Styela clava: one gene and its partners. The protein of the gene in region 1 purifies or fractionates together with the protein of each later gene. This does not show direct contact. Links are inferred from orthologs where the notes say so. Each region holds a gene or a part of one and is shown on either strand. Other genes may lie near its edges.

Region 1 (7,319 bases):
CAACCGACAGCATTATGTGATCATTTTCAGGCGCATCATTCATGAAAAGTTCTCGTTATTATAATGAATGAGCTGGATTTTATGATACTAAGCTTGACAGTATTACGATAAGGTTTGACACGAGGCTTATTGTTTTCCACTTTTGCTTTTGCAACACTTTGAATAGTGTGCATAAAATGTAACTTTTTACGTCACACTTACATGGCCCGCAAGTTCAAGTAGGCAAATTTTTTGGAATATTCGAATCGAATAGTAAATTGTTGAATCGGTTCAGAGCATAATTTCGAATCGCCTCCATCTTGTTATTTTTTTTTTCCGCCTATGGTCGAGGAAAATTACCCAATTTTTTTTAACAGAGCCATATTTTAGGAATACCATTCTGACATATGACTATTTTCTGTAGTGAGTTATTGATAAATAAGTGTTTTTTATTGTGTGTGAACGCTCCGCAATCTGTCTTAGTGATGTATTCAGTAATGAATTTGTTGACAGGACCAATTACAATAAAAAATTAGCATATAATTACATATCTCCATTGACTCACAAGTATTCGAGATTCGATTCTGAAATCATCAGGTATTCAAAAATGACAAGATCTATACTAAGTAACAAAATAATAGTAGGTCTTACCCATTTTGAGAATCTTCTTCTGGATATGACTCGCATATTGTTATTAAGTCAACACATATTTGTCCAACACTGAGGACATATTTTGAAGATTTTACGGAAGTCATTCTTGATATTAAGTCCTGAAAAGTAGAAAATCGTTTCGTACTCCCGTATTTTGTGAACCAAGATGGCGGATACCGGAACGTAGTATGTGTACCAGGTTAGGGTTAGGCCATAATTTCAGGTACAAATACTACAGGAGTCACTTGGCTATGTCTCCGAACTCGTGATAAATTATTGCCTAACCCTGTTGCACATACTACGTTCCGGTTTCGGCCATCTTGGTTCACATACTACGGGAGCACACGACGTTTTCGGTGCGAACTCGTTTTTCTCTGTACTGCGACAATACAACGCTACATTTCTCAAGTACTGTCGTCTGAATTGATATCCTATGTAGATACGACACTTTACAAATTCACGATGAATGACATGAGTCGATCAATCGAAGTTCACTCCGTGATATAAAAATTGACAGCAACAGACATGTGCAGGCGGAAATGCAAAAGCCACCGGACATCATTGATTACTCTGCGTGGGTTTGCAGGTTCGAATCCCATGCAGGGATGGTTATGTGCGAGAGGATTGCTTGACTCCTCGCCACTGTAGGGTGCCACCATCAAGTCCATGCTTACGAAAACAAAAAACTAACTAATAATAATAATCGGCTTTCCTCTCCCCCGGGAAAAATATGTAAATCCTATCCTATCAAGTTATTGAAAATATTATATTTTTTGACTTCAGTAAATTTAGTTAAAGCAATACTTTGCGATAGTTCTATTTTAATTCAAGTATTACATATCAAAACCTGATTTTCTGGTAAAACTCGTTTGATATTAAATATACATTCATTATATTGTACGTCCTTTTGATTTTAGAATGTATTGCCAAAGTATCGATCATCTTCTTGGCTATACTTGTGTTTCATGTATTCAAGAAAGGGGAAAATGTCATCACCCTCACGTACGTTCCTTTGAATGCTTACATGCTCTCGCTCGAAACAGAAGCTTCTGCTTCGTTGTTGAGCAACTTTGTGTCTGTCATTCCACGTCAAAACTCACAAACCGTGTTTAATCTTCGCGCTGTCAATCGAATTGTGACATAATCAATATCTGTTTATTTGGTAGAGTATAACAGAAATCGTAGCATAATAAGTAGGGTTAGAGTGCTTCTTGAATCATATTTGCGTGGTCAAGTTAACTTCAACAGTAATATTACATCTGTGAGGTGTGAAAGATTATAAACGTGCGCACGAGGTGGTAGATATCTAACGACGTCATATGTTAAGTCTTTGTGCATAATGTTTTGATTGACACTACGGAAATTGATTTTTTAATTGATAAAAAGGCTTTGACATACCTTGAATGATCATTTAAATGAAATTTTTCGTGACTCATTGTTGTGTCAGCTGCAATTTTAAAATTTGTCAATCAATCAATTTTATTTTGGTCACTCTGAAAGAAACAGAACAACAACAAGATAGCAATCAGAGACCGCCGACTTATCGATCTAGCGGCGTGTATCCTTCGCTCTGACTCAATAGCGACACCGCGTGTCCCATAACTAATTAATTGATAACTCGCTAATTATAGGACATTATTCATCCAAAATCAATAGGCTTCTGGTCTGAGATATGATGAATGTACATACAAGCTTTGGAGCAACCTTGCTTTCGTGGAATAGCGCGTAACATACGAAAGTATCTATCAGACAGACAAATACCTATCATTTTTTGGGGGATTTTTTTGCCTATTCAAGTCAATTGGAGCGTAATGCAACGGTTCTTTTTTACTTTAGCTTACGACATCAAACTCGCTATGAACTCGCTTCACGATGAGCGGCTAACCAAGATTAATTTTCCCATTTTTTGTCTCTTTATAATAGGAATTTATGCACACTGTATATTTTCCACAGTTGAGTATGTTGTCTGTTAATTAAGGTACTGTGGGTAGCGGTGCCCCGAGCCCCGAGAGACGTGGATCTCCCCAGATTCTGTAGTGATTTATTACGCACGTAATCAAAAAAAAGCATTAGCTATTATTCTTCAATAAAACAACGACTAATTTGACAATGAGTTTTGTCATGACGATTCTTATTATATGGAAATTCAAAATGTGTTCAATATATCTTTCCTCGAGAATATTGTCAATACCGCGTGCAAACTCTACCCTGAAGTTTGACCTCCGGATTTCAAATATATGACTCCTTGTAGCGTCATCGTTTCTATTAGCAAGACTGTCTGGATCAAAGTGACTATGATCTGGATTGGGTAGTTCAGAACTGATAGCTGTAGGCCTACATCTATCTCGTTGTTAGTAAGGATTAAGTGTCTATTTTATTCCGGGTAGAGGAAATACGGCTTATCATATAGAAAACCACGGTCTCTCGTCCGGTCCAAAGTTTATCTTTACTGTTCACTCCCATTTATAAAATTGACCAATTTGGCAGTGCAATCATCATAAATTTATTAATATGGTGTGGCAAGTAGTTTTTATTTATTTATTTTTTATTAACTACCAGTATGTAATTTTTCATGTTTCCTTTACTTAATAACTTCTATATGGTTGTGTGTGTGGGTGCGTGTAAGCTTGTGTGAAATATTTCAATTATTTTATGTGAGTGAACACGTACCACATCTTCTTGGCAAAACCTTCCATCTTATATGCATTCTGTACGTTTTAAACCTTATCTAAGGTTTTGTTCGCTCTCCTGATTTCATAAGCAGTTTTTATTTATTTATTTTTACAATTCATTTTATTGTTTTGCTGATTATGGAGTCGAAATAAACTTATACTTAATATACTTATACTTATTTGGGGCAATCTCCCACCTAAAACTAAAAAAAGTTATTTGTGCATGTTTTCAGTAAGACACTGACCTGCTGACTGACTGAAAAAGTATTTCCTAGTGAAATATTCTAATTAGTCCTAATACCTTAAATTATTTTCTCGAAATATAGACTATCTCGTGTTTGATTTGCTTATTGAAGGTCATGGCCATTTTTTCTAACTTTTGTGTGTGCATAATTGAAAGTTGCTGTTTTTTTTATCTTTTTTTTTACACAAATAATTGCTCTGTCATCAATCTGATGATTATTATGTTCAACTCTAAAAGGCATTGTTAATGATATTTCCAACTTTTTAATTATTGCTGAATCTGTGATAATACTGTAATATGATTGCTTCAATATTATCTTTATTTCTCCATGTATTTGAGTCCGGTACATGTCCAGTGAATATTTAATTATAAGAAAATATAATAAATAGCTAATTGTAAAAACCAATCTTGATATTTGTTTTGTTTCTCTGGGCCTGTCCGCACCTAAAAACTATTGTACATATTGTCGTTGTGCCTTACCTTTTTGTCTTGTGTATTTTACTAGAGTTTTATTTGTATTGTCAATTTCATGTCTGTTGTCCTGGTATATCGCATCAGTCCTAAAGTGCTGTTATAATTGTTAGGGGTACATGTCGCACATCTGTGTCTTAGGCCAGTAAGGTCTTGAACATGTATCCCGTCTCTGTTATACTGTTCAATTATTATGCAGATACTGTTACATTTTGAGGCAAATAAACATACATACTTTGTGTGACCCAGGATAAATATGTGAATCCTATCTTAGTTTATATTGCGGAAGTCAACAAACTAGACATAAATTCCAAATCTTTAATCTAATCTAGAGCTGTCACTAAAATAAAATAAATAATAGCTAAATATTAAGTTATTTCAAGATGGCTCCTGCAGTGAGAAGCCGAGCAGAGATTCGTCTTATACGACTGCTTTCCAGATGTGAAGAGATGGCTGGGTTAAACACACCTGATGACTGGAGACTTGAAAAGTATGTTGGAGCATTAGAGGAACGTCTACAAGCGGTCCAAAAGCTTGATTCCTCGGAAAAACCAAAGGAAGATATCATCAGTGAATACGCAAAGAAAATTAAATTTTTAAAACAACTTTTAGAGACTCAAAAATTACCTGTCACATCAGAAAAATCTCTCGCTAACCAACTACTCGTGCCAGCAAAGTCTCGGACGATTCCAACTAATAAAGAATCTCCGACGGGAAAGCAGATTCAAATGCAGGCATCGTCGAGATACACTACGGAAATGCGCGACGAACTCATGCTCACAGAGAAGGAGAAATCAGCCGGAGTGCGCTATAGAGCAACGTCTTCTGGTGGAAGTACGCAAAATGCAGACACTGAAGCTATACTGCAACATCAACATAAAATGCACGAAAAAATTGCTGACGAAATGGTTGCGTTAACAAGGAATTTGAAACACAACATTATGGCTTCTAACAGAGTTATAAAAGATGATTTGAATGTGATCGAAAAATCTTCTAAAAAAGCTGATCAGAATTACGGCCAACTTCAAACCGAGTCGTCACGACTTGAGAGTCATTTAAAGAAAGGGACGAACTGGTTGTTGTGGATATCTCTTGCTCTTGTCTGCGCTGTGTTTATGTTCATGATTTTTTTCATCAGGTTTTTTCCCAAAAGGTACTCTTGATTGTTCATCATTATTATTCTTGTAAGTGCCAATAATGCTATCTCAGGGGTGTGAAACATTTAAAACAGGAGGGCCAGATGGATATAACTGGGTGAAATCGCGGGCCACACTTAGCTTTTAAGGCATTATGAAGTCATAAGCCTAGATAGTAAATTGGATGTACCAAATCAAATTTAAAACTTGTTTCTCAGGCCGCACCTCATTCAAAATTGTCACTTCTTCGTGGGCCACACAATTATTTATAGAGGGACGAATTTGGCCCCAGGTTGCACACCCCTGTACTGCGCCATCGTAGTAAGAATGTAAGGAGCATACGATACAAGTTTTCTCAATATTTAATGTGCCTATAAACAGGGATGCCCAGTTCCGAATACTGCACTCTTCCGAATACATTCTAAAATAATATTTTCGAATCTGGAATTTTCAATACATTCTAAAATCAGACATACAAATTTTTGTTTTAGTAAATTACGGTAATATCCAGTAAAATAGGAAATAGCTCCAATAGAAATATTAGAATGAGGCCACAAACCAACAGTATATGTACACAAATTATTTGATAGTTTATGCCAAGTTTCTATTGAGAAAGTTAACATTCAATGAAGACGCTTCGAGAGCGATGTCGCAGATGTGTGACGTTACACAAAAATTCGATATTCCTATAAACGTTGATTCCGATATTCGAATGACGAGATATTCAAACTGGCCATCCCTGCCTATTAATCTACTAAACAAGATAATCAAATGCGAGAGGATTGCTTGGCTCCTCACAGGCGTTGGATGGTTCATGTAACCCGGCCAGTTGTTGATAACTGATAACTGATTAGGCTATCTAATTCCATCATGGATTGGTAACCGAACGAGTGGACATGGTTTGCCATATGATTGATTTGTCTTATCTGCTCTTCCGGGATAAATATATTGAAATCTTACTCTAAACCAGGGATGTGCAACCTGCGACTACGAGGAAAAATTGTGTGACCCGTGGAGAAATGCCTATTTTGAAATGGTGTGCGGCACGAGAAACGAGTTTCAAAATTCTCAAGTTTAATCTAGTACATGCGAGTAATTCCTGTGCGTTGCAAAGCCTATACCTGAGCTCTTGCGAAGCGAGCACTGCATGTCATCAGATCAATACTGGGGCTAGGCATTTTCGAATACCTGATATTTCAGAATCGAATAATTTTTTCGAATCGAATCTCGAATACTTGGAAGATATATAATCGCATGTAACTTTCTTATTGTATTGAACACACAAATTACTGGAAAAGTAAAATACATAACTCAGACAGATTGCTGAAGCGCTCACACACAATAAAAAACACATTTTCATCAATAACTCACTAATTTTTGTGCCTGCATCTACTAGAAAGCCTATGGTAAATAAATTTGCTGCCCGCGGTTTTACCCAATTATGTGTATCTGGCGCTCCTGTATTATTAAAGGTTGCACACCCCTGACCTGAACAGATGAAAAGATGCTTTACTGCCTGCCTGTTACCAGTTGTGCATTTAAATATTGAGAATCTACTTGGTACCACTTTTATAATGTTCTATTTTATTGCTATTTCTTGGTGCAATTAGTTAAAGTCTTGATGTTTGAATTGTATATTTTTGACATGTTTTGGTGAAGGATATTCTGCATTATTCATATCTTTAATCAAGGATTCAAGAACTTGGATCCAATCTGTGGATATCATTTACCTCAATTCTAAATCCCTTAATAATCAATAATTTATCTCCGTATTGATATATTGTGATCAATATTGGATTTGTTGGATTAAGTTTCACCTGAGTTGTGAGGTAGGCTGATTCTCACCTCTCTTTGTTGTATATTTGGAAAGCAACTCATGGATTATGTTTTCATGGTCATAAGCAGTGATAAGGAGGCTCCAGTCCAGGGGTTCCCAACTGTCCATGGCGTGGCCCCTTTCCCGAGGTTTTTTAGAGTTTTTTGTAAAAGGAAAAATAAAATCAGTTTTGCGCCTAGCATTGTGGCTCCCTTGTGGGCGCTCCAGTAGTATGTGAACCAAGATGGCGAACACCGGAACGTAGCATGTGTACCAGGTTAGGGTTAGGACATAATTTTATTCCAATTTTTCTTTTTTAGTCCTATTAGGAGTTCGGTGACTAGCCAAGT
Region 2 (6,873 bases), on another chromosome or scaffold:
TGTAATTTCCATGCACAACCTAGCGAGATATTCACAAACTGTGATTGGTTACATATATTAAAATTACCCATCTGATTTTGGCACATTATTAGTTAAGCCTATTGGTTAACCATCATAAACATTAGTCCTTCAATACTGAACAAAATAGCACAATAGAAATGATGTTTGATGTCTAGAATATTTGTTAATGAATATTACAACATAATATACTAGGCAAATAGGACTAACTAATTACAATTACAACAGTATCAATACCTGATGTGTAACTTTATCAGCATTAATAAAAATGAATGGGATCTTTGCTTTTTTATATGCCCGACCAAATTCTGGTGGAAAACCATTTGTGTCCAATTCCATAATTCCACCAGGTAACGAATTATTTTCTCCAAAGCATTGGCTGAGTCCAATAACCAAAGCCACAATAAGGAGCTTCATTTTATTTGAGCGCCTTTCAATATTCCTACAGGTAAATATTAAAAACTAAAACTTTATTTTAAGAACTGTAAACACAGACAATATATGGCAAAATAAAATATTCAATCCCTGCACAACTAAATTTCATCCAATTAGGGATCAAATTTCTGTGTCAAAACCTATTTCTTTTTCCCACATTATCCGACAACAACCAATACCAAAATTTTACAGATGACAGACAAAGATACACATGACAACACCAATATTGTATAAACATTGAATAGATTATACATAATTCCGAAATAAACAGTAACTGTCAAGTCCTAAGTGCTGAACCACTGAAATCTTTTTTTAATTCGCCAGAAATTTATGTCATCAGCTAGAATTAGGTTGGAGTACTGAACTATTAAATTGAATTTATAATATTCCTTAACATGAACATGTAGAATCTTTTTTTCACCCTGCATTGTTCGTGCATCAGTGACATCAACCTAGAACATTTGTTGCCGAATTATTTTTAGATCAGTATTAATACTCAATACCACAAAAAAATTATATCAAAGATTCTGACGGATTATTGCACATTATTAACCAATTTTAACCTACAACAGAATAAATCAAGTTAAACACAGTCAGGAAAATATCCAGACAGCGATAAATGAAATTCTAGAAAACGAAGCACTGATATCTAGAATAACTGTTACTAATACTAAGTATAATGATTTCTAATAAATTAAATATATTTGAATTTAACAACAATATCATTCTTTATTAGTAAAATTTTATAGGGTTAATTATTACACAGGCCACAAACGCTTTTTCAAAATATATAGCACTGTACTGAAAAAGAAAGCCAATGCAAGAAATATTAAAAATTTATCAGTGCATTCTCGCCTATTATATTTAGTCAATAACCTATGACTGGTCTGGATAACGCCAGACTGGTCTTTCAATTCTTCATCGGTCTGTTTTAAAGAACCAGACGACCTGACTAACGTATTCAATGAGTCAGCACTCTGTTGCACGCTGCCACTCATGACCCGACTTATGCTCAACAGACTTTGTGTTACATCGTTCGCAGTTCGTGCAAGGTTTTCTTGATTTGCAGCAGATGCTTGACGACGACGAACTTCTGAGTTTTTAGCACCACCAAGAAGTAACATTTTCGACTCCTCATCGAGAGCAATCTTTTTAGTCAAATATGCTTTGCGCAACGTAGAATTTGTGTTCTGAATTTGTTCCTTAAAAAATTTGACCGACTCTTCCATTTCTAATTTTTGTTTCACATCATCAGCTTCCTGTGCAGCTGTTTCAAAATCTTGAATAGCAGCACGAAGCTCATTAATTTTTCTACGAGCATTTTCATGAATTGTCTGTAAGTTTTCTATTGTGCCATCACATCTCCAGACATCCTGAATCGCAGCTTTAGCAGAGCAATCCATTGTAACAATCTTTTCTTTCAAATCAGCATTTTCTGGAACTTTCTTCTTCTCCAGAGATAACTTACGCACCCAGCTTTGTGCATTCATCGCCCTATATTCTCAAATAACGCTAAACAAATATTGAACTTATTCTTGATATTGAGAAAATACAAAAACAAAAAAATCAAATAAAACAGAGTCACAGTGTGATAGCTAGCAAATATGAGTCAGTATCAAATAATGAAAATTGATTCTTGATTATCAGGCATTGATCAAAATATTTACGAAAATTAAATAATCAATCAACATCACTTTTTCTAAATCAAGGATTTATTAATGACGATGTAATTTAGTTCAAATGAATAGTCGAATGAAAAACACTTTTTGAGCACTTTTTTGAATTGTGACTTATTGCTAAAAAACTCTTGGGTCATCACCTGAGAGCAATCAAGCCAAACGCTTTAATTATCTAGTGAAATAAGAGCCTGCAGTTATGACGTTTTGTTGAAGCTGGCGCTAAGTTCCCCATACCAGCTGGAGCTGAAGCTACTAGAAATTTTCAGTGAGTCCCCAGTTCTTGAATGTTTACATATTATTTACCTTTTATAATTTTTTTTATATCACACTCCAATAAATAATGAAATCTATCATTCTCAGCATCATGATTTTGAGACCCACTGCCGTGAAATTTCAGCCCAGCTCAGAGGTAAAAACTGGAGCTCTAGCTGCTGTTTGAACATACTCTGGCTCCAAACCTGGAGTCACGTTGATTTCAAACAAGCTCTGCTTGCTACAGTGTGAAAACAATTTTACTTTAGTGCGCTATGATAAGAAATCCCAAAATAAACATTTTATAGAAACTACAACTTCATAGTATTAACACTACATGGAATTCTTAATTATGTTGTTATCTTCTTTTTAAGTATTGCACACCAATCAAAAACTTGTCATTTTTCTATGAGTTTCCATTCTTGACTTATGAATTTTAATATTAGATTCCAGTTCTTTCATGTTTGTCAAATCTTCCTTTAGTTTGTCGAGTTTTTCAGTCAAAGATTTGACGACTGAAGGATTAGATTGGTTCCTTCGTAATGATTCTTTTACTTTGAGAACTTTTGCTTTAATTTTTTTCATGTCATCTTCATTTTTCATCATTTGTTTATTGAAATTTTTTACATTTTTTTGTTCAGTACCAGCCTTTATTCCAAACATATCTTTAGGCATTTCAATTTGCTTTTTAGAGTCTTTTTTAGCTTCACTGACACCTAAAGTCTTGTTGAGGAATGAAAAAACACATCTGTCACGTTTTTTTCTCCTAAGTACTTTTTCACTTCCTTGTGTATTTTGGTTTGTATCGCCAATGTGTTTTACACCCTTTTTAAGTCTTACTTCCATGCAATGGTCGAGCGATTTACCAACTGGAAGCATGACAATTGGAACAGGTTCTAAACGGCCTTGACTGCTTTTACCCAAGCCTTCACCTAATTGATATCCCATTTTCTGCATAAGTTTCGAGCCTATGCCGTTAGTGTGTTCTTCCCATAAGCCTAAACGAGGAGGCATCCCTTTGGAACTTGATGCTCCATATTCTTTGTATAAATTTTGGGGGGTTATCTCTACTAATATGTCTTCGTCAGAATCTACTTCATTTTCATCAATAATAATATGATTAGTCTCAGGCAAAAGGTCATGTAAAGCTAGTGTAAGAGTTGGAGATTTGTGCAAAAAACTAACAGAGTAAAGATTGTCTTCAATTTTAACCACAATACCAGGTTTCCATAATCCATCCTGTGTTTTAGCCAAACATTTATGTCCTTCAGTTAAATTTGAGTAATCTGGAGAGACAAAAGGCCTCAGCTCAAATATATTGACAATATAACCATGCGAATATCGACAGCCAGCTTCATCAAACTTACAATTCCCTTCAAGATAATATGGGCAAGGCTGCATTTCTTTCATAATTGGGTTCAAAAAGAGTACTTTAACGTTCATTTCATTATCAGCCTTATCACATATACTTTCATCATTTTCCACTGCTACTTGTATCATTGCATTGTGATATTGTGTACCTGACCATTCTGTAGAAAACGGTGCTTGACATTTTACACCACTTATGTCATCCACATATTCAATACTGTCCAAAAATATTTCATTGTTTGGATCGGACGAGTCATTGTTTTCACATTTAGAAATATTTTCACTAAATATTGACAATGAGCTTTCATCAGTCTTATGCAAAGAAGGACATTCTGTATCCAAATTAGATATCTCTGAATAAAAATTTGCTAATTCGTTATCCATAGTATGCCCATCAGCATCAACATTATCTGGATTGCTTTGACCTGTTTTGTCCTGGTCATTTTCTGCTTGTGAATCATTGTTGTAAAATGCACTCAATTCATCTTCTATATTTGATGTTGTTCCACTCCTTACATGTTGTCTATCAGTAGCTATGTCATATTCCAATGATTCTGCATTCTCAATTGCAGTTGTATTTTCTGATGGACAATCAACACACAAACTCAATAATTGAGTCAGATCATCTCGCAACTGCAATAAGTCTTTTACATCTGAATTATTCGTTTGACTTTTTAATGCTTCATTTACTTGATCAAGTTGTTTCTTGTATAAATCTGTTGTTATGCTATCCATTGTAATCATACCAGAATGAACCTAACTAAATAAAATATATATCATGTCATCATGGATATACCGTAATTAAAAAAATTACCTATTATATTGCACATATTTTGACAAAATCGATGGATTGGTTCACGCCAGCCTGTTACAGACATTTTTAAAACAAATAATGTAATAAAGAAAAGGATGAAGCAAAACCAACAACAACATAGCCTCCTTCTACAGCGTAAAAAAGTATGATTAGTATGCTATTACAACTTCAAATACTGAAATAGCCTGATACTGATCACAATTACCTTATGTTCTTATTGTTTTTTAAGATGCAGTGTAGTACTGTAGTACAGGGCTACTCAACTATTTTTACCGAAGATCCGCATACAAAACTTCAAAATTATTTGGGTCCGGTGTTTTCACAAATTATATTTCGGCATCCTCAAACGCACACTTCCTCGACCGGCTAATGATTTTTAGCTAATCAAGCTTGTTTGTTATGGTGTTATAGTTTATTTCATATATATTCAAAACAATAAAAGTTACTTTATAAAATGAAACTTCAAATGTGGGGCTAATGGTCCAAAATAAAGAATTAGGTGCGGTCCGAATCAAGTACTCGAAAGGTCCGGATTCGGACCGCCAGTTGAGTAGCCCTGCTGTAGTAGCCTACATGTAGAACAGTAGTAGGGATAAATAAAATTATATATGACACAAGACAAAAAATACACTTCAATGTTCATGAATTTTTTGAAAAAACTCGTTTCAATATGTAAAGAGCAAAATTGACATGGTGAAATAATAGCCAATTTATCAAGTTATAATTGCCAATGATGTTGTATCTTGGGATTTTCAAATTTATCCTGGCAGACAGGAAAACCGATAAGAACAGGTTGGTTTTATCACACGGTGTACCACGACCTCTAGTTTCTAATCCATGTCGAGTACGACGTTAGTTAGCCAGTTACTTGTTTCAAATGCATGAACTTGATGGTGGTGGAAGCCATATCCGAATAAATGCTGTAACTGCTTATATTACTGTATTATAGGCCTAGCGCTAAACGAAAATGTGTGAAAATCCTTTTTTTAATTTTTAATAAAATTGTCTCTCACGAAATTACTGACAGACAGACATGTTAGATGAAATCACATCTAACTTACTGAAATAGGGTTTAGTGTTTGCCTGTAACAGACCCTTATTTCAGTATTTGAAAAAAATTGAAATTTGAGTTGTATTTTCACATCACATTTTTTGTTTGGATAATTCAAGCAGTTATGCCGTTCATTTTCACATCACATTTTTGTTTGGTGCTATACCTGCATACTGTAAAAGACGAACGTTATACACAAGGTCAATTTATTCAGTGGAAGTTTGCCAACTAGACTATTTAATCAAAGTAACTTTTTTCACTAAAGTTTATAATTTTCACAGAATAATATTTTATCAATTTTTCTGGTCATCAGGATGAAGCATTCCAATAAAATATTCCTCTTGCATTATCAATGCATCCCTCGAATGACCAACATCATTGAAATCAGCTGTGGCATCTCTTCCTGCTACATCGTTCAAAACAGATTTCCCTCCAGGATGTTCAGAATAGAAGTTTGTAACATCATAGATTTTATTATTTAAAATAATCCACAAGCTCTTTTTATTGTTGTGCTTTGAAATATCAGCTTTCCGAAATACAGGAGCATTGGCATAGTTCGACATTTTAGATTAGTAGACTAGACGAAATACTGAAATTTTAATTTGTGTTAGGTGATTAGCGCACTGTACTGTTGAATTTAAATAGGATTTACATATTTATCCCAGGGAGAGCAAAGTCGATAAGACGGCTTAACCATATGACGAACCACGGCCTCTCGTCCGGTTACCATTCCATGTCGGGTATGGGATTAGTTAGTTATTTTTATTAACTAACTAGCATGGACTTGATGGTGGAGGAAGCCGTAACCGACCAGCGGTTACGTGAACCACCCTATGGCGGCGAAGAGTCCAGCAATCCTCTCGCACATGACCATCCCCGCATGGGATTCGAACCTGCGAACCAACGAAGACTAGAAGAGTAATCAGAGGTGCGGTGGCGAGCGTATTTCTAACGCTTAACACGATGAGCCACACAGCCGTGCTGAAATATGGAATGTTTTGAAATGATGTCAAATATTTACAGATTTATGGCACAATGTAAAGTTTACATATCTTTATGGAAGACTACAATTCAGACAATTGTGAGATTCATCAACTCGCTGCCAAGCATTACAGCATTAGGTTACGGTACCGGTAGGCTACCGGTGTACAGGTAAAATCAATCAATCAATTTTATTTTGGTCCCTCTGAAAGAAACAAAACAACAACAAACGGACAAACAAAATGCAGAGGACCTGGAGCAGGGGTGGGCAACTT
Region 3 (6,864 bases), on another chromosome or scaffold:
CATTGTCTTTTACAGCACAAAGAAAAAAGACTTTTTAAAACTTTCAAAATATATTTCTATATTCATGTCTTATAATTTGGGTATAAATTTATGAAAAAAAGATAACATTATACAGAAAACATACCTGATTATTGGAATTGCACCAAGACATACAAACACGCAGTAAAGACTGTCAACAATTGCATCAATTATGCTCATCATTTCTGTGTCTTTGATGGCAGTTTTATTGATACCTGTTTCAATAATCATGGATGGCATTATAACAGTATATAACTGCAGAAGCAAACATTTTTAGTCATTCGTATTCCAAGAGATGCTATATAACTGCGTTGAAAACAGTGAGTTTGTAAACTCTGACTTAATAATATCTAAATTAAATAACAACTACAAAGCTGAAGCCAATAAACTGCATGTAAAAATCACCAAATGTATAATTGAATACGGTTAACTTAATAAGCATAAATTCAATATTTTTAGAAAAAGACAATTGATTGAACTAAAAAGAAACCTACTGTAATATGAAATTGCATCTTTGTTTTGATTTCTCAAAAGAAACATGTTATCTTCGAGACTGATGAAATTTAAATATTGATCGAAAACTTTAGTAACATAAGATTCTGCATTCGCCTTAAAAAAAGGGAGAGTATGGTTATAAAATGTTTAACACATTAATGTAACTAAAATAGGAACTATGATGAAAAAATTGGTAATGTTTATTAAATATGTTGATGTGCATTATATATTTTGCCACTGACCACTAACACAGTAAGAGCTATAAATAAGCTTATTTCCAATATATAATGGTTGACATGAGACCTTGAATTCAAGTCAACATTGCCAGGGAAAAACGATAGACGAAAAAAAAATTTTTCAAGGCATTAATTCTTAGTAAAAACTTTTAGCATAGTGTTAAATTCTAATCATGCACCAGCAAAGACGTCATCAACAAAGATGTCTAATATTTCCATTTGTCATTTGTGATTCAATTCAAGTTGACAGACCAAGAACTTTTAACAGAATTCTGCTTCATTGTCCAAATTACAATTCTTACAACAATAACTTACTAATACAGCAGCACTCGCAAGATCTTCTAATTTATGTCTCGGAATAGCGGATATAAAATTAAAGTAATATCCTTCATAAAGCTCATTTTGCATATCCTGTAAAAAGAACAGAAAACATAAACAGTCACTAAATAACCAAATAGCAAACCATTCTCAAATTAATAACTTGACTGTATATAAAACTGTCACACTCAACACTGTATATTAATATCTGGTGACTAGGGCTAAATGCCCTACAGAGTGGTACATATTACCATAACAGGATATGTCTTGGAATTGATCCCTGTTAGCCCCCACAACTTGTCCACCCAAACTATGATAAACTAACAAAAGAATAATCACAAAGCTATCATTCATTACAAACTCGGCAGCTGTGTTTTTTTGAAAACATAAGAAAATTGTCAGCCAATGTTACAAATTCCTTCAAACATTACCCGACACATTCTTGTTATATTTTCATCTGTTGGTAAAATAAAATATATGGCAGGAACGTCTGGTACTGGATCTCTGTCACTATGAAGAGACCTGAATAAAAAAATATTAATAGAGTTATACTTGATTTGCAACTTGCCATCAATTTTATGCCCTCAATTCGATCGTGAAATAAATTATGCAAAGCTATATTAAAAATAAAGTCATTCCAATTAATAAAAAATCGATGTATAGTAGTTAAGTTATGAGCCATCATTGATCGAAGTTGCAATAATCAAACTTTCTCAAAGCTGTACATAAAATTTGTCCTAAAATAGATGCCTTTAAACAATAGTTTTACTTACAAGTATAATGTAACTCCCATGTCTCTCAATTCACTAACAGATAATAAAGGTGAAATAATATCTTGACCGAATCTATCATAAATCAAGACTTTCCATTCTGGTTCCATACTTGATGCTTTAGTTACTGGATTTCCAAAATGTAGCATTCTCTTGATGGCAACTAAAATTAACATGAATTTATACCGAGTTATTTGCCTTTCGCTGTGAACGAGGTCTTGTAAAAGCATCAACTGAAAATATATTCAGAATTTTGGGGAAAATTTTTTTATTTATAAATGGTTGCTCATCGTAAAAGCTTTCAAAACCAAATTCAATGATAGGACGCAAAAAAAGAGGCAAGTTCACTAAACGCCGTCAAGTACTTCTAGTTGGCGTGGCATAACCATTTTCGCAAATGTCATTTTTGACCCTCGCCTGACTACGCCATCACAAAATTAAGCCACTACAACGTCACAGTGACGAAATAAGGCCCGTCAAAGTATACAGATTGTCATCTAAAACGCGCAGACGATCACTCAAAATCAAGCAAGCTATTTCTCTTGTTTTCTCGTCCTACAGTCCTAACGATCCTGATATGAGGGAGATCCGATGGCGTTAGCGAGTTCGTTATCATTATCAGAGATGCGTTTTCAGGTGACCTAGCTTTTTTTTGGCAAGCTCTATGACGTGATTGTGACGTAGTCGGGTAGGGGGTTGGAATAACATAAGTAAAAATGTTTGTGCCACGCCAACTAGAATATTTATGCCTTTTGTGAACATGCGCCCATAAAACTGTGAAAAGCACATCAACTTTCAGACTTTACCATTCCATAATTTCTTTCTCATCTGGAAAGGCAGAAAAGGGTTATGGTACTGAAATACGAAAGTCCTATCTCAAAATGAGAAATGACGATACTGTAGGTTCAAAGAAACAATATAGCCTAGACATCTCTTTATCGGAACACGGAATTGTAAAAATACAGAAATATATCATACCTGCTTGCCGTTCTCGTATAGAGGCAGCCATTCTTGCTGAATAGGATTAGAAAATTAAAGAACAACTCAAAGACAATCTCCTTCTATCCACGAAAACCCATGAAGCAAATAACGGGCTAGCAGATCAATCCAAAACACATAACATCAAAGTAAAATGCGATTACAGGATTAAGCTAAGCTACATAACATGGGAACTGTAGTAGTAAACCACTGTGCCTGACTCGTCAGCTCTTCCACGCTAACAAGTGCTCCCTGTAAAAATAATATGTTCGGAGCTTAAAGAAAAATATTCATGTTTTTAAAAGTTTTGCAAATAAATTGAATAAGTCTGACTATAGAGGTCTTAAATTTTTCCATTAATTAAAAATGGTGCTTTTTATTCAAAAGCTATGATATAAAATATTAAGGGGAACACGGATTTTTCAACGTCAATATTGCTCTATTTTAAACCTAGTGGGCACAAACATTTAATATATCGTAATTAGGATGGAATTTTTCTATTTATCGTGGGAGAGAGGAAAACCGATAGGACGAGATAAGCCACGGCCTATCAGCTCATGTCGGATATGGGATAGTGGACCGTTTATTTATTTCAGACACATGAACTTGATGGTACAGGGGTGGGCAAGGTTTTTGAACAAGGGGCCAGGAATTTTGCCCACCTAGACTGGCGGGCAGTGGCGTAGCATCCACCCCCGCAACCCCCGCGGTCGCGGGAGGGCCCACAGCGCAAAGGGGCCTAAGCGGTTAGAAATTAGAATTTAGAAATTTAAGCCGTAAAACCAAAAGCTGCATTGCAAAACCAGTAATGCACATTTTAAAACGTTGATGTTAGTTCTGCTCAAAACATTTTGGTACGTAACAATGCCAGGGAGTCGTCGATTTTCGGCGTTTTGTGGTTTGATCGCACCGGCAAAGTTAGAAAGGTTGTCAGAATGATGTCGAAAGCAAAACCTCTCAGTGGCGCACAGAAACGCAAAGAAAGGGCAGAAGAGGAAGCACGTATGAAAAAAATTAAAGTGATCAAGATAAACGGCAAATTTTAGGTTACCATTAATAGCGACGTGTTATGCTTTTTGACGAAATAAATAAAAGCGTTGTTTTAGCTTATGTCCGAGAGTTTTTAGGGTCATTTCCACGAAATATTTTTGCGGGGGGGGGGGGGGGGGCACGAGAGTTTTGCTACGCCACTGCTGGCGGGTCATGTGAGTGTGGCGTGATAGGTTAAATTCTATGAACAATATTTACAGTGGTACAAAAGAAAAAGTGGAAAACAATAAGCCTTGAGCCAATATTAAATTTAATTGAAAAGTCAACAAATTCGTTGAGCTATTTTTTTAGGATTCGACCCGCGGTCCGTAATTTGCCCATGCCAGTGTAGAGGAGGCCGAAACCGACCAGCGGCTACGTGAACGGCAAGTAGTCTGTCAATCTGAGAGCTAAATCCAAATTGCAATACCAGTAAAATGACAGCTGATACGAATTAAATTCGTTTCCTCTTCCAGGCACGGTAAATATGAAGACGCAAGGTCACTAGAATGATGAAGGTGATCAGAAAGAGCACACACATGTAGAATCACCAATGAAATTTCCTCGTGTTCTATGGACTCGATGTTCCATCAAAATGTTTTCTGTTTAAACCCTTCTTATTTAGTATTCACGGTGCACTCAGGGGTTTTCCTACCGGTATCCATGCGCCATTGAGCCTTGTTTTCATGTTTTCAAGAAAACGTAGCCTACACGCAAAGCGAACCACTTATTTTTTTTCTAAATTTAGACAAAAGCACAAAACTTCTGCTCTCATCCAATGCACCCTCAATGAACACTTTTATAAATACCCTCTGTAGTCACATCTAAACAAACTTACATTTTTAGCTTTGCAAATTTGTATTTGAAATATCGCGAAATATAATATCAGTCTTCAAAAATGTTGCTAATTATTTGGACACGTAAATTGTCTGTCAAATGATTTTTGTATCATAATGACTTATGGACTGCGACTTTATCACCTTGTTTTGAATCTCGTAATTTGTTGTTGTTTAGGTTTTGCGAGAAATGTCTGTGAATTTCACTTAGAACCATTATGTTTTGGCGTAAAATATACATTCTCGTGTGACATTGTACTCTGGCCTCTCCAGTCGGACCTTCGCCCCATTTAAAGTTCAACAAATCAAAAGATTACGCCATCCTACCCCGGGAAACATTCGCAGTATAATACTTAGGGCTTTGCAACATATTCAAACATAGTTTCATATTAATTCCCGGGCGTCACAACAAACAGTTCTAAACAGCTTCGCCGATAGGAAAGTTAAAATAAAATGTATTAATTTTAAGACATATGCAGTCATCAGCGATCTTCAAGAATCTGTTTTCAACTTGAATTGTTGCTGTGCTGTGTTTTTTTTAAGAGTTTCGCCGCAAAACCACAGCGATAAAAGGAGGTAGGCTCTACAGAATGAATGAAATATGTCATTAATAATAATCTGATACAAATCTAACCCTGGCGAGCTAAACACCTTTCCTCCCAAACTTGATGCAACGTCATACTTTTGATAGCTATTCAGCTGAATCACACAAACAAACAAACTAGCAGTTTAGTCGGTAGATATTGCACAAAATAATATAACACAATAATGCTCCAGTTAATGGAATGAACAAAAACTACACAATATTCCTTGAATGAATGGAAATCTTAGATGATCTTGGAATCTCTATTCTTGTACTGATATTTCCTTGTGATGAATGGGATCCCATGTTTGTTGAGCATATGAATCCTCATGCTTTGTTTGATGCCATATGCACGGCCACATACTTTACATTTATGGGGTTTCTGCTTGATGTGGAAAATGTTGATATGCCTCTTCATATTGTTATACTGTAAGAGGTAAAATACCATGAACATTTCAAAATAGTAAACTATAAATTGAATAGAAAGTTATTTTTGAGTTATATATTGTCAATTTAAATGGATCTACTTTACAAAATACCCTGAAGTATAAGTCAAATTTTACTTAGTAAATTGGCAAAAAAATTAATTGGTATAACGGCATTTTGAACATACGAATGTAATTTTGAAAGCATGGTCCATAAAGTATATTCAAGAAGGCAATTGGCGGACAAGCTAACCACACACGATATAACATTGGTATAACAATTTGTTTTACAAGATAGTTCTAACATATTTAAAAAAAATCCAGTTCACCATCATAATTATCGTCATAAATTCAACATACCGCTGTGAATAGTCTGTTACAGAACGGACATTTACAACATTTCCTTTTGTGTTGATCAAATGCTTCCATGGATGAGAACAAGTGATTGCAAGTCACACAAACATGAACATTATTATCAATATTTATATCTGAAATAGAATAAAAAAGGATTAGAAAAAGAATATTCAGAGTTAAATATGACAATCATCAATCATGTTTTTAAGTCATTTGTGTTTCTCTGTAATTTTTACCCAAATTGTATATTTTTATGATTTTCTAAACATGGGCCAACTCTCGTGCCATGATATATTTTCTCGATTCTGGCTTGCAAACACCTTTTCTTTTTACTACATGACAAGGAAACTCATTGTACACTCAAGATTTAAATTGAGTTTATTCTCAAGTACAACGCTTAGTGAGATGGTACTTGAACATATGAGCTATGCCCAGACCCCAGAGGTAGGACACACGGTATGGCAAACTCATTCTTGGAATGACCTGATAATCATTGAATTCGTTCTTGTTTTTTGTTTTAGACGTTAGACAACAGCAATTAGGTGCTGATGGATAATTAGTGCTGTATTTGACGTTTTTGAAAATGATGTGTTATTAGAGTGTCATGTTGCGACATGAGAGAACCGGTTCTTTAAATTTTGAATCTCACCACCGGATATGCCCCTCTCAATTAACTACATTTTGTCCAGTTTGCGTCATATGCAGTGTTATAGTGCTTTGATTTGTGCCAAAAGGTCGTAGAGGTAGATTGGCTTACTTGCATTGGCTGGAGTCGGAACATGGTTTGCACTGCTGGGATAATCATAACTGTGTGTGGTGGCG
Region 4 (7,792 bases), on another chromosome or scaffold:
ATTCTAATTTATAGGAATACTTTTTATGACATGAGGGAAAACTTTTAGAACCTCTATGTACACATATTTGAGGGCTGAGCATTGCCCTCTTGTGCTTGGGTTGCCATATATGGAAGCACAGTAAAAAAATACATAAGGAGAAGTTATTCACACAATAACCAAAGCACCCTCAAATTATAATTATGAACAACTGAAAATGATATGCTAATTTTCACCAAGTCTTAAATAGCCTATGAAAGGATACGGAAGTTGAATCATTAACAAGTTCGTGAAAACCCGTTCAAAATCTGCACGTAGATCCGTTGAAGCTGTGGAATTTGCTCCACTTTTACTAGAACTTTTCTCGCCCGAGGAGCCTGGCAGTGTCTTAGGAATGGTTCGTGGACCAGGGGCAAGAATAAAAGGCCAACTTATGTGCTTCAAAACACTCTCCAACTCTCTGAAATGGACAATTTGAGTGTTAAATACTAGGATGATAAAGTAACTCCAATTGGTTGAGAAAATGTTAGGGATAATATTGAACAATGAAATCCTTCTGAAATAGTTCATCCCTGATTTGTAACTAACTACTTATGGTCACTCGGAGCGTGTCCTGAAAATAGCACCCGAGGAAATTGAACCATGAAAATATCAACCTGAAAATTCTGATTCAAGCGATAAAAATATCACATTTTACAAAGAATCAATTAAAAAATAAGTTGGCATTGGGGATTTTATTTGAGTGGGATATTCCATAGAAGAAATTTTCAATGACACTTTCAGAGAGGAAATTTACTAGGTGAATTTTTCTAAGGTGGAATTTCTGTAAGTATCGATTTGAGTGAAATTAACACACTGCACACTTATCCCACAAACAGAAAACCAAACTTATTAAACACCCTTTTTATCATTTTAAATTCACAGTCCTTTAAACAACTTTCTGCAAGCATTTTTGTTACTGTTCTAGTCTACCTCAATTATCATAACAATAATAACTGATACTTACAAAGCCAATTTGTCCTTCAAAAATTTATGCCAGAATAGAATTGTATCGGAAGTAAATTTCATTAGACTTTCACATTTTGAATGTTGTGTTGTGAGTATCTGGTTAACCTTTATCAACTTGGTAAAAGCTTGACTACCACCACTCAAATTGTCGCTCGAAATGCATCTCTGTATTTCTTCACTAAATAAGAAATGCATAAACTTGAAGAGTGGGCATTATGAACGATTGGCTTTGATTTTTAATTCTAGGGTCTGAAAAATCGTGATGGATGCATTCTTCAGCAATATATATAACAATAGCTAGTTTTCATAATGATATTTTCCATTCTGAAAATAATTCTTTATCAAATCATATTGGAACGCCCGATTATATTTACAGCGATTGCGAGCTTTTTTTGAAAGTTTGCCCGACATTTTGTCTTGAAAAACTAACAAATAAATATTTTGTTCAAAAGTATCTAAACCTTGCACAGTGTACGGGATAGCCTGTTTGTGATTACTGGAAACAATGAAATCAGTTTACTGAAATGTAGGCTAAACATTGTATGGTAAAACACTATGACATCATAATAAAAAGTTCAACAGCTACGATGACATCAATTCAACTACTTCAAGCACTTCAGTCTTACAATTTCCAGTCATTAAATAATTTTCAATGAAAAATATATAAATATATTATAGCCAAATGTGACTGTTAACATATTGGAAGCAATATATAATCTAACAAGTACGAATAAATATAGTTAGATTCATAAGTTGCCAAAGTTAACATTGTCTGCAATCTATGACAAACCTCAATTCTTCCACATGTTTCAACCATTGTAAATAAACAACAAATTTTTCTATTTCCTTCACTTGAAAAACCATTCCTCCAAGATCATCATTTATGGGCTGGCATTCTTCCATAGCTTGATTAATTTTTTTAACAAGAACATCTTTTTGTGCGATGAGAGTTTCACCTTGTGTTAAACTTTCATCAGAAAGTCGGATTGCACTTTCAATTTTTGTTGGAACTTCAGTTCTAATAACAGACAGCTATAAATAAAAGAACAATTTCTTAGTATTGGTACAGTAATACGTTTATTCCGAGATATAGTCAACAAAGGTGTCAAGACAGAATGTCTGAAAAGCAAAAAAACTAAAACGCCAGCGACGCAAAGGGGGGGACAAATTATATATGTGAATAAAACATGGAGACCACCCTTGTGCTAAAATGCACATGCGAATTATGATGCATAATGCATATTATTGCTCCTATCTTGTATAAAAAAACATTTTCTGGCATATGAGAGTTAAACAGGTACAATACCACCATAAAATAGTTCACTCAAACTAGCCTTCTGTAACATATGAAATTTTTCATATGAATTGTTTGGTCTTGTAACTGTGACCTAAACAAACATAATAGAACTCAATTACATTATGATGGTCATCTTCAACAAGGGAGTGGAAGATTATCATATTATTACCATGGGGAGCCAATTGAATATAAAGTCGTAAATGCTCAGATTGGAGGGAGGGGGGGATTAAAAAATCAAATGCCTGAAACAAGCAATCAAAATTTCAAAATTATCGACTTAAACTGACGTTTATTTTCCAGAATTAATAGCAAGTTGAGGTTCAATTTAAAGTGACCTTGATAAAATGAGATGTAATTTTTCTATAATCGCTATAATTAAAACCAAGTCAGTGTCGCATAAGGATCAAATTAATAATCATTGTTTCATTTTTGATGACCTTAATTTTGTATATATGTATATATCAAAATTCTGTACAATAATATATCAAAACCTGGTGTTCAATATCACGTTGTCTTCCAAGCAGTTGATTGTATATTTCCCTTGCATTTGCTAAATCATCAATCCTTGTTACTTGACCAAAATTTGTGTCAAGAAATTCCTTAACAATCCCCTGATGACGATTCATCATACAGCTTTCACAGACAAGGGTCAAAAATGAGACACAAAATCTCAAATATAGGCTATTACTATTCTATACCATTTCTTTGATTTAAGATAATCTGTGATGAAAGGTCAATTTGCATAAATTATGTATACCCATCTATGTTGTATATGACAATTGGTCACCTCAAATATTGTATATAGAAGTGCAAACTAAAGATCATAAATACTACCAAGGACTGAATTTTAGTTGATCAGGAATAAAATTTTTACCACCGTGTCCATAACTAATTTAATTTATGGGTATTGAGAAAGATTTTGCTATGTCTAACCAAGAGTAATGCCCTAAAAATATACAAAAACCTGGTTAGGAGTCAGGACATATTCGACACCTCAAAACCAAACGTGCTAAGTCCACTTTTCCAAAAAATGACATTTTTCAATTGCTGATTTTCCTGGACTTAGCTCTACATTTTGGTCTATTTGCCTTATCTCTAGGTGCTCTAGATCTCAAGACAGCTATGGACATAACCCTGCTTTTTTTAGGGCATTTGAGAACTAAACAGAGCTGTGTCTACTATAGTGGACTTAACTCTGGATAACTGCATTGTAAGTTGGGGCTAAGTCCGTTTTTTTCCCTCTATAATAACATAATAAAGGGGCCCTTAGTCCAATAAAATTGTTTCTGGTCCAGAAAATTGAGAGCCAAAAAGGGTTAAGTCCAAAAAAAAACCCCCAACACAAATTTTTTTATACCATCCAAATATGGCCTTCATTGTAACTTTGGTGGACCATAAAAACTAGACATCCTCGATGTAAGGTATTAGAGAAATAAAAAAAAGAAACAAAAAACTAGAAAAATGAACTTAGCCCAATTTGGATTTCATGCGTCGAATTATAAGGTAAGTAATAATTTCCTATAAAAATTTTGAAAATTGTAACAGGACTTTATAAACACCTCATATACTATTTAATAATGAATGTCACACACAAAGATAGGCTATAACATGAATTGTAAATTTTTTTTGTTCGATGATACAAATCAAACTGGTTTGTTAACATTTGCGATTTCCTCAAATTTGAAAATAGTTGCTTGATTGTACCAAACTCAGAAATAGACCAAAAAGTGTTTTACAGGAATACAAATAAAAACAACAATTACAATTTTATTACCTAACTCTCTAAAAACAAATTCGTAAATTTTTCAAAAGTTATAGAATAGTAGTATGTAAAGTAATTAATGTAAATAAATAATAATAATGGAAAAAACAATAATGCAGAGAACAAGAAATGAAACTGAAATCTTTAGAATGTCACAAGCAAACAAAATCACCAATACCATATCGGTAAACAAAAAATACAGTGAGTTCTGGATAAACCATATAAAGGTTTAGGAAATAATTACTTCAAGTGCAGAATACTCTATCATAATAAAAACTCATTTATAACTCTAGCTTTCAATTTTCCACAATGAAAATCATATGCGAGATATATTTTATATTTAAAAAAAGAATGAGGTCCGGTCTAAGGTAGCTATGAACTTATCATCAGTGACTGCTTTTTCAAAGCCTTGTTCAATTGTGTGAAATTATACTTGAAATTATGTGAAACTTCATCTAACGTTAGACAAGCTAGAAAACTATTTTACTCTCCCTGACATCTTCCATATTTTCAGCATTTCGTCATGTGAAAAAATATCACATTTTATCATTCCCTCAACGAGTTCTTGCTTTGCATTCCCAACAAAATTATGACGTAAGAAGTTCACAATTGGGGAATTTTTTTGATGATAACCAGCTTTCTCTTGAACAGGAACACGCACAATACCTAGCGTTTCTGTGCCCCAATCACCAGCATCAATACAACGTTTTTCAATATCAAAAAATTCACTTTCAGATACTTGTTTTAAATAGAAGTGATTGACCAATTTTCCTTTTCCTAGGGTCTGAAGATAAGAACGAAAATATTCATTTTCGGTCATAAAAAATCTTAAATCCAAATTGATTTCTTCTCTTAACTCACGATTAAGTCCATCTTCAATGCTTTCTGAGCCTTCTATATTATTAATTAGACCTCCAGGAAATCCAAAAGTACCATCAAATCTCATCGTTATTAGAATGTTATGTTGCATTGGTATGCGTCCAAATAAACTCTTGCTAGAGAAACTGTAAATCATTGCATGAGCTGCATGTTTGCAGTCTCTCATGGATGTAAGAGATTCTTCCTTGCTTATTGCAACAGCATTAGGGTCTTTCCAAAGACATGGCCTATCCATATCACAGTATTGTGATTGAGTTATGGTGACACACAGGCACAACACTCAATTTAGCAATTGAGAATTCAACTCAAAAAGCAGGCTAGTTTAGTTTATTCTTAAATATAAGTACAATAGAGGATTATTATTAACATTGTGCACTTTTTTATATATACTGATATAGGCCTACTTACAGATTTATATTCCTTATTCACCATACAGTACCGTGGGTCTCGTGCATGCATCTAGTCTACATAGATCATAGATGCATACATAGATCCGTAGATGTAAAATCTATGGTCTGACCGTAGTAGTATATATTTACGGTCTGACCGTAGGTAAATAATCTTGGCGAATCAAATAAAATATGACCGTGGTGAACGTTTTCAAGTTCGTCGAACTAAAGAATCTGGCAAAACATCAGCCTCGGAATATTATGTTGTTGTTTTTCATCATCATTATCATTAAAAAATCGCTTTTTTCTTTGAATACTGGGACAATTGCATTGAAATTTTCAGTGGTTGAAGATGGAATTTTCTCCAGAAGGCTATTACTTTTATTTTCCTCCAAACTTCCTGTAAATCCCATGAGATTTAATATTTTATCAAAAAATATCGCTGTATTACCATTTAATCATGGGAACGCGATTTTTAACCCACCAAGCGTTTTGTGAACTACTGCTTCGCTTGCTGTTCATATAATATTTGTAGACTGCAGTATTTACTGTTATGAATGATACCGTAGTAACTCGAATCAGTAGGTATTTCAATTCACTTTGAATCGTCACAGAACCTGGAAAGTGGGTGTACCTATAACAGTGTCCCTTTGCCGATATGGAAGCCCAAACAGTCTCTTAAAAGCGGGGCCTACAGTCACAGTTATAATTAAAGTTTTTTAATATGGGGGCTTTTTTGGAAATAAGTAAACTGTGCCGTACCGTACTGGGTACGGTACGGACAGGGTACAGGGGTACGGATACTCAAGTGCAGTTTTAAGTATTCTGTGGCATCTGCAGCTGCCGCAAAACCATGGCGGTATTTCCATACCATGGCCGCTACGACCAAACTCATGGCAACTGACTTTTTAGCTGCCACAAACCAATGTCGAGCTGCCGTCACCGCGGCAGCAAATTGAAAACCAATGGCAGGTAAAATTTTGCTGCCGTAACCGCGGCAGGTGGGCCGTAAAGACAGGGCCAGTGTTCCCTCTAAGGTGTGCGCGTGTGCGCGCGCACACAGCTTTCAGAGGCTGCGCACACGCATAGATTTACTGCGCAGTGCGCACAGACTTATTTCGATGTAATGTAACAATGTGCTCGGTTGGCAGGTTGAGAAAGTTTGTTGTTGGCCCACTTATTACCCGGTTAGAACGCCAAAATTTTTTCATTGGTTTTTGCACAAATATTAGTCATTTCCAAAAAAGTGCGCACACACCAAAACTTCTGCGCACACATACTACAAAAAATTAGAGGGAACATTGGACAGGGCTGTCTATTATGGTGACAAATATTGTGTAAGTTGGAACGTTTTTCTTATGGATACAGTTTTGATTGATTTGGGGTTAGGGTTAGGGTTTAAGTAGATATAATTCCACATGATCAATTAAAATCTGGTACATTAATTTGTGAATATACCGTTAATACTGATTACTGAATACTGAATAGCGCTATAAAACCATGGCAAGAGCTGCCGCGGTTCGTTCGTGGCAGGAGCTGCCATGAAGTGGTAAGAACTGCGCCTCCGGATACTAGCAGTTGGTTTCAATGTTCAGCTTCGTGTAGGATATCTTTGGTTTTCGGTGAAGTGATGATGAATTATCCTACGGCTCCATTTATTTGAGCATAGCTCTCTTGTTTTAATAATGATGGTTTTGATAATTTAAACCAGTTTGTGAGAGCCAACTCTTCGAAACACTATCATAATAAGCCTCGTCACAATGGCTTAAGTTAAAAACTATAATTTTTATCCAAAAGATTTAACCATGTGCGATTCAAAGAGACTGGAAGGCGAAAGCCAATAAACAATCGATTCGCGACCTCCAATACTCCTAAATGCAGCCGACTACAGACTATTACTATTTTCAGATTCTTTCAGATGTGTATACTCCACTATAAAAGCGATATTTGTCTAAAGAATTAGACATCAACAAAATTGTGTTGCTCTATTTTCGCTGCTCGTTTGCGAGTATTATTAGACACGAAGTGGACATAACGATCGTTTCAATATTATTGGACACGTTTAGTGGCCATAACGATCGTTTCAATATTATGTTGTTGTTCTTGTTCTTTGACACATTTTTAAAAATCGCTTTTCTCTTCGAATACTGGACCAATTGCTTTGAAATTTTCAGTGGTTAAAGATTAATTTCTTCGCTAGAAGGCTATTACTTTTATTTATTTCAAAATTTTGCGTGAATTCTATGAAATTTGATATTTCGTCTAAAATTTTGCTGTATTATTTTTTATTCATGGGAACACGGATTTTAGTCAGTGTCATGACTGGCTGTACGTTTTGATTCTGCAAAATTCTTGCTACTGGAAATTCAGAACTTTTTTGAGGGTACCGGTAGCGTCAAAGGTACCGGTAAAGACTGATTCGCTCTGGTCTAACGTGTCCATATATTTGTGCGTAGATCTCTTGCTTGTGTTGTTGTT

The links.
Region 2: the proteins of vesicle transport protein USE1-like (region 1) and vesicle transport protein SEC20-like purify together in Homo sapiens (co-immunoprecipitation; 4 studies listed by BioGRID and IntAct, counting the BioPlex papers as one, with this or other methods). This does not show direct contact. The link is inferred for Styela clava from reciprocal best matches to the Homo sapiens genes USE1 and BNIP1.
Region 3: the proteins of vesicle transport protein USE1-like (region 1) and sec1 family domain-containing protein 1-like purify together in Homo sapiens (affinity purification with mass spectrometry; 3 studies listed by BioGRID and IntAct, counting the BioPlex papers as one, with this or other methods). This does not show direct contact. The link is inferred for Styela clava from reciprocal best matches to the Homo sapiens genes USE1 and SCFD1.
Region 4: the proteins of vesicle transport protein USE1-like (region 1) and RAD50-interacting protein 1-like purify together in Homo sapiens (co-immunoprecipitation; 3 studies listed by BioGRID and IntAct, counting the BioPlex papers as one, with this or other methods). This does not show direct contact. The link is inferred for Styela clava from reciprocal best matches to the Homo sapiens genes USE1 and RINT1.

Annotation. Positions count from the first base shown.
Region 1 is NC_135261.1:1,556,443-1,563,761, forward strand, and holds the start of vesicle transport protein USE1-like, read left to right. Parts: upstream 1-4,317; 5' UTR 4,318-4,400; coding exon 4,401-5,180; 3' UTR 5,181-7,319. Other genes in the region: ketohexokinase-like, read right to left, coding at 631-734.
Region 2 is NC_135250.1:16,235,091-16,241,963, forward strand, and holds vesicle transport protein SEC20-like, read right to left. Parts: upstream 1,944-6,873; coding exon 1,212-1,943; 3' UTR 501-1,211; downstream 1-500. Other genes in the region: cathepsin L-like, read right to left, coding at 256-435; zinc finger CCCH-type with G patch domain-containing protein-like, read right to left, coding at 2,772-4,496. UniProt on the Homo sapiens protein: As part of a SNARE complex may be involved in endoplasmic reticulum membranes fusion and be required for the maintenance of endoplasmic reticulum organization. Also plays a role in apoptosis.
Region 3 is NC_135251.1:11,552,277-11,559,140, forward strand, and holds the start of sec1 family domain-containing protein 1-like, read right to left. Parts: upstream 3,028-6,864; 5' UTR 2,847-3,027; coding exon 2,816-2,846; intron 2,001-2,815; coding exon 1,841-2,000; intron 1,590-1,840; coding exon 1,499-1,589; intron 1,161-1,498; coding exon 1,065-1,160; intron 628-1,064; coding exon 513-627; intron 234-512; coding exon 125-233; intron 1-124. Other genes in the region: uncharacterized protein LOC120336583, read right to left, coding at 5,508-5,690, 6,049-6,176, 6,800-6,864. UniProt on the Homo sapiens protein: Plays a role in SNARE-pin assembly and Golgi-to-ER retrograde transport via its interaction with COG4. Involved in vesicular transport between the endoplasmic reticulum and the Golgi.
Region 4 is NC_135250.1:9,702,298-9,710,089, reverse strand, and holds the start of RAD50-interacting protein 1-like, read right to left. Parts: upstream 3,002-7,792; 5' UTR 2,914-3,001; coding exon 2,776-2,913; intron 2,020-2,775; coding exon 1,778-2,019; intron 1,166-1,777; coding exon 986-1,165; intron 440-985; coding exon 245-439; coding exon of another isoform or gene 216-244; intron 1-215. Other genes in the region: U8 snoRNA-decapping enzyme-like, read right to left, coding at 4,525-5,160. UniProt on the Homo sapiens protein: Involved in regulation of membrane traffic between the Golgi and the endoplasmic reticulum (ER); the function is proposed to depend on its association in the NRZ complex which is believed to play a role in SNARE assembly at the ER.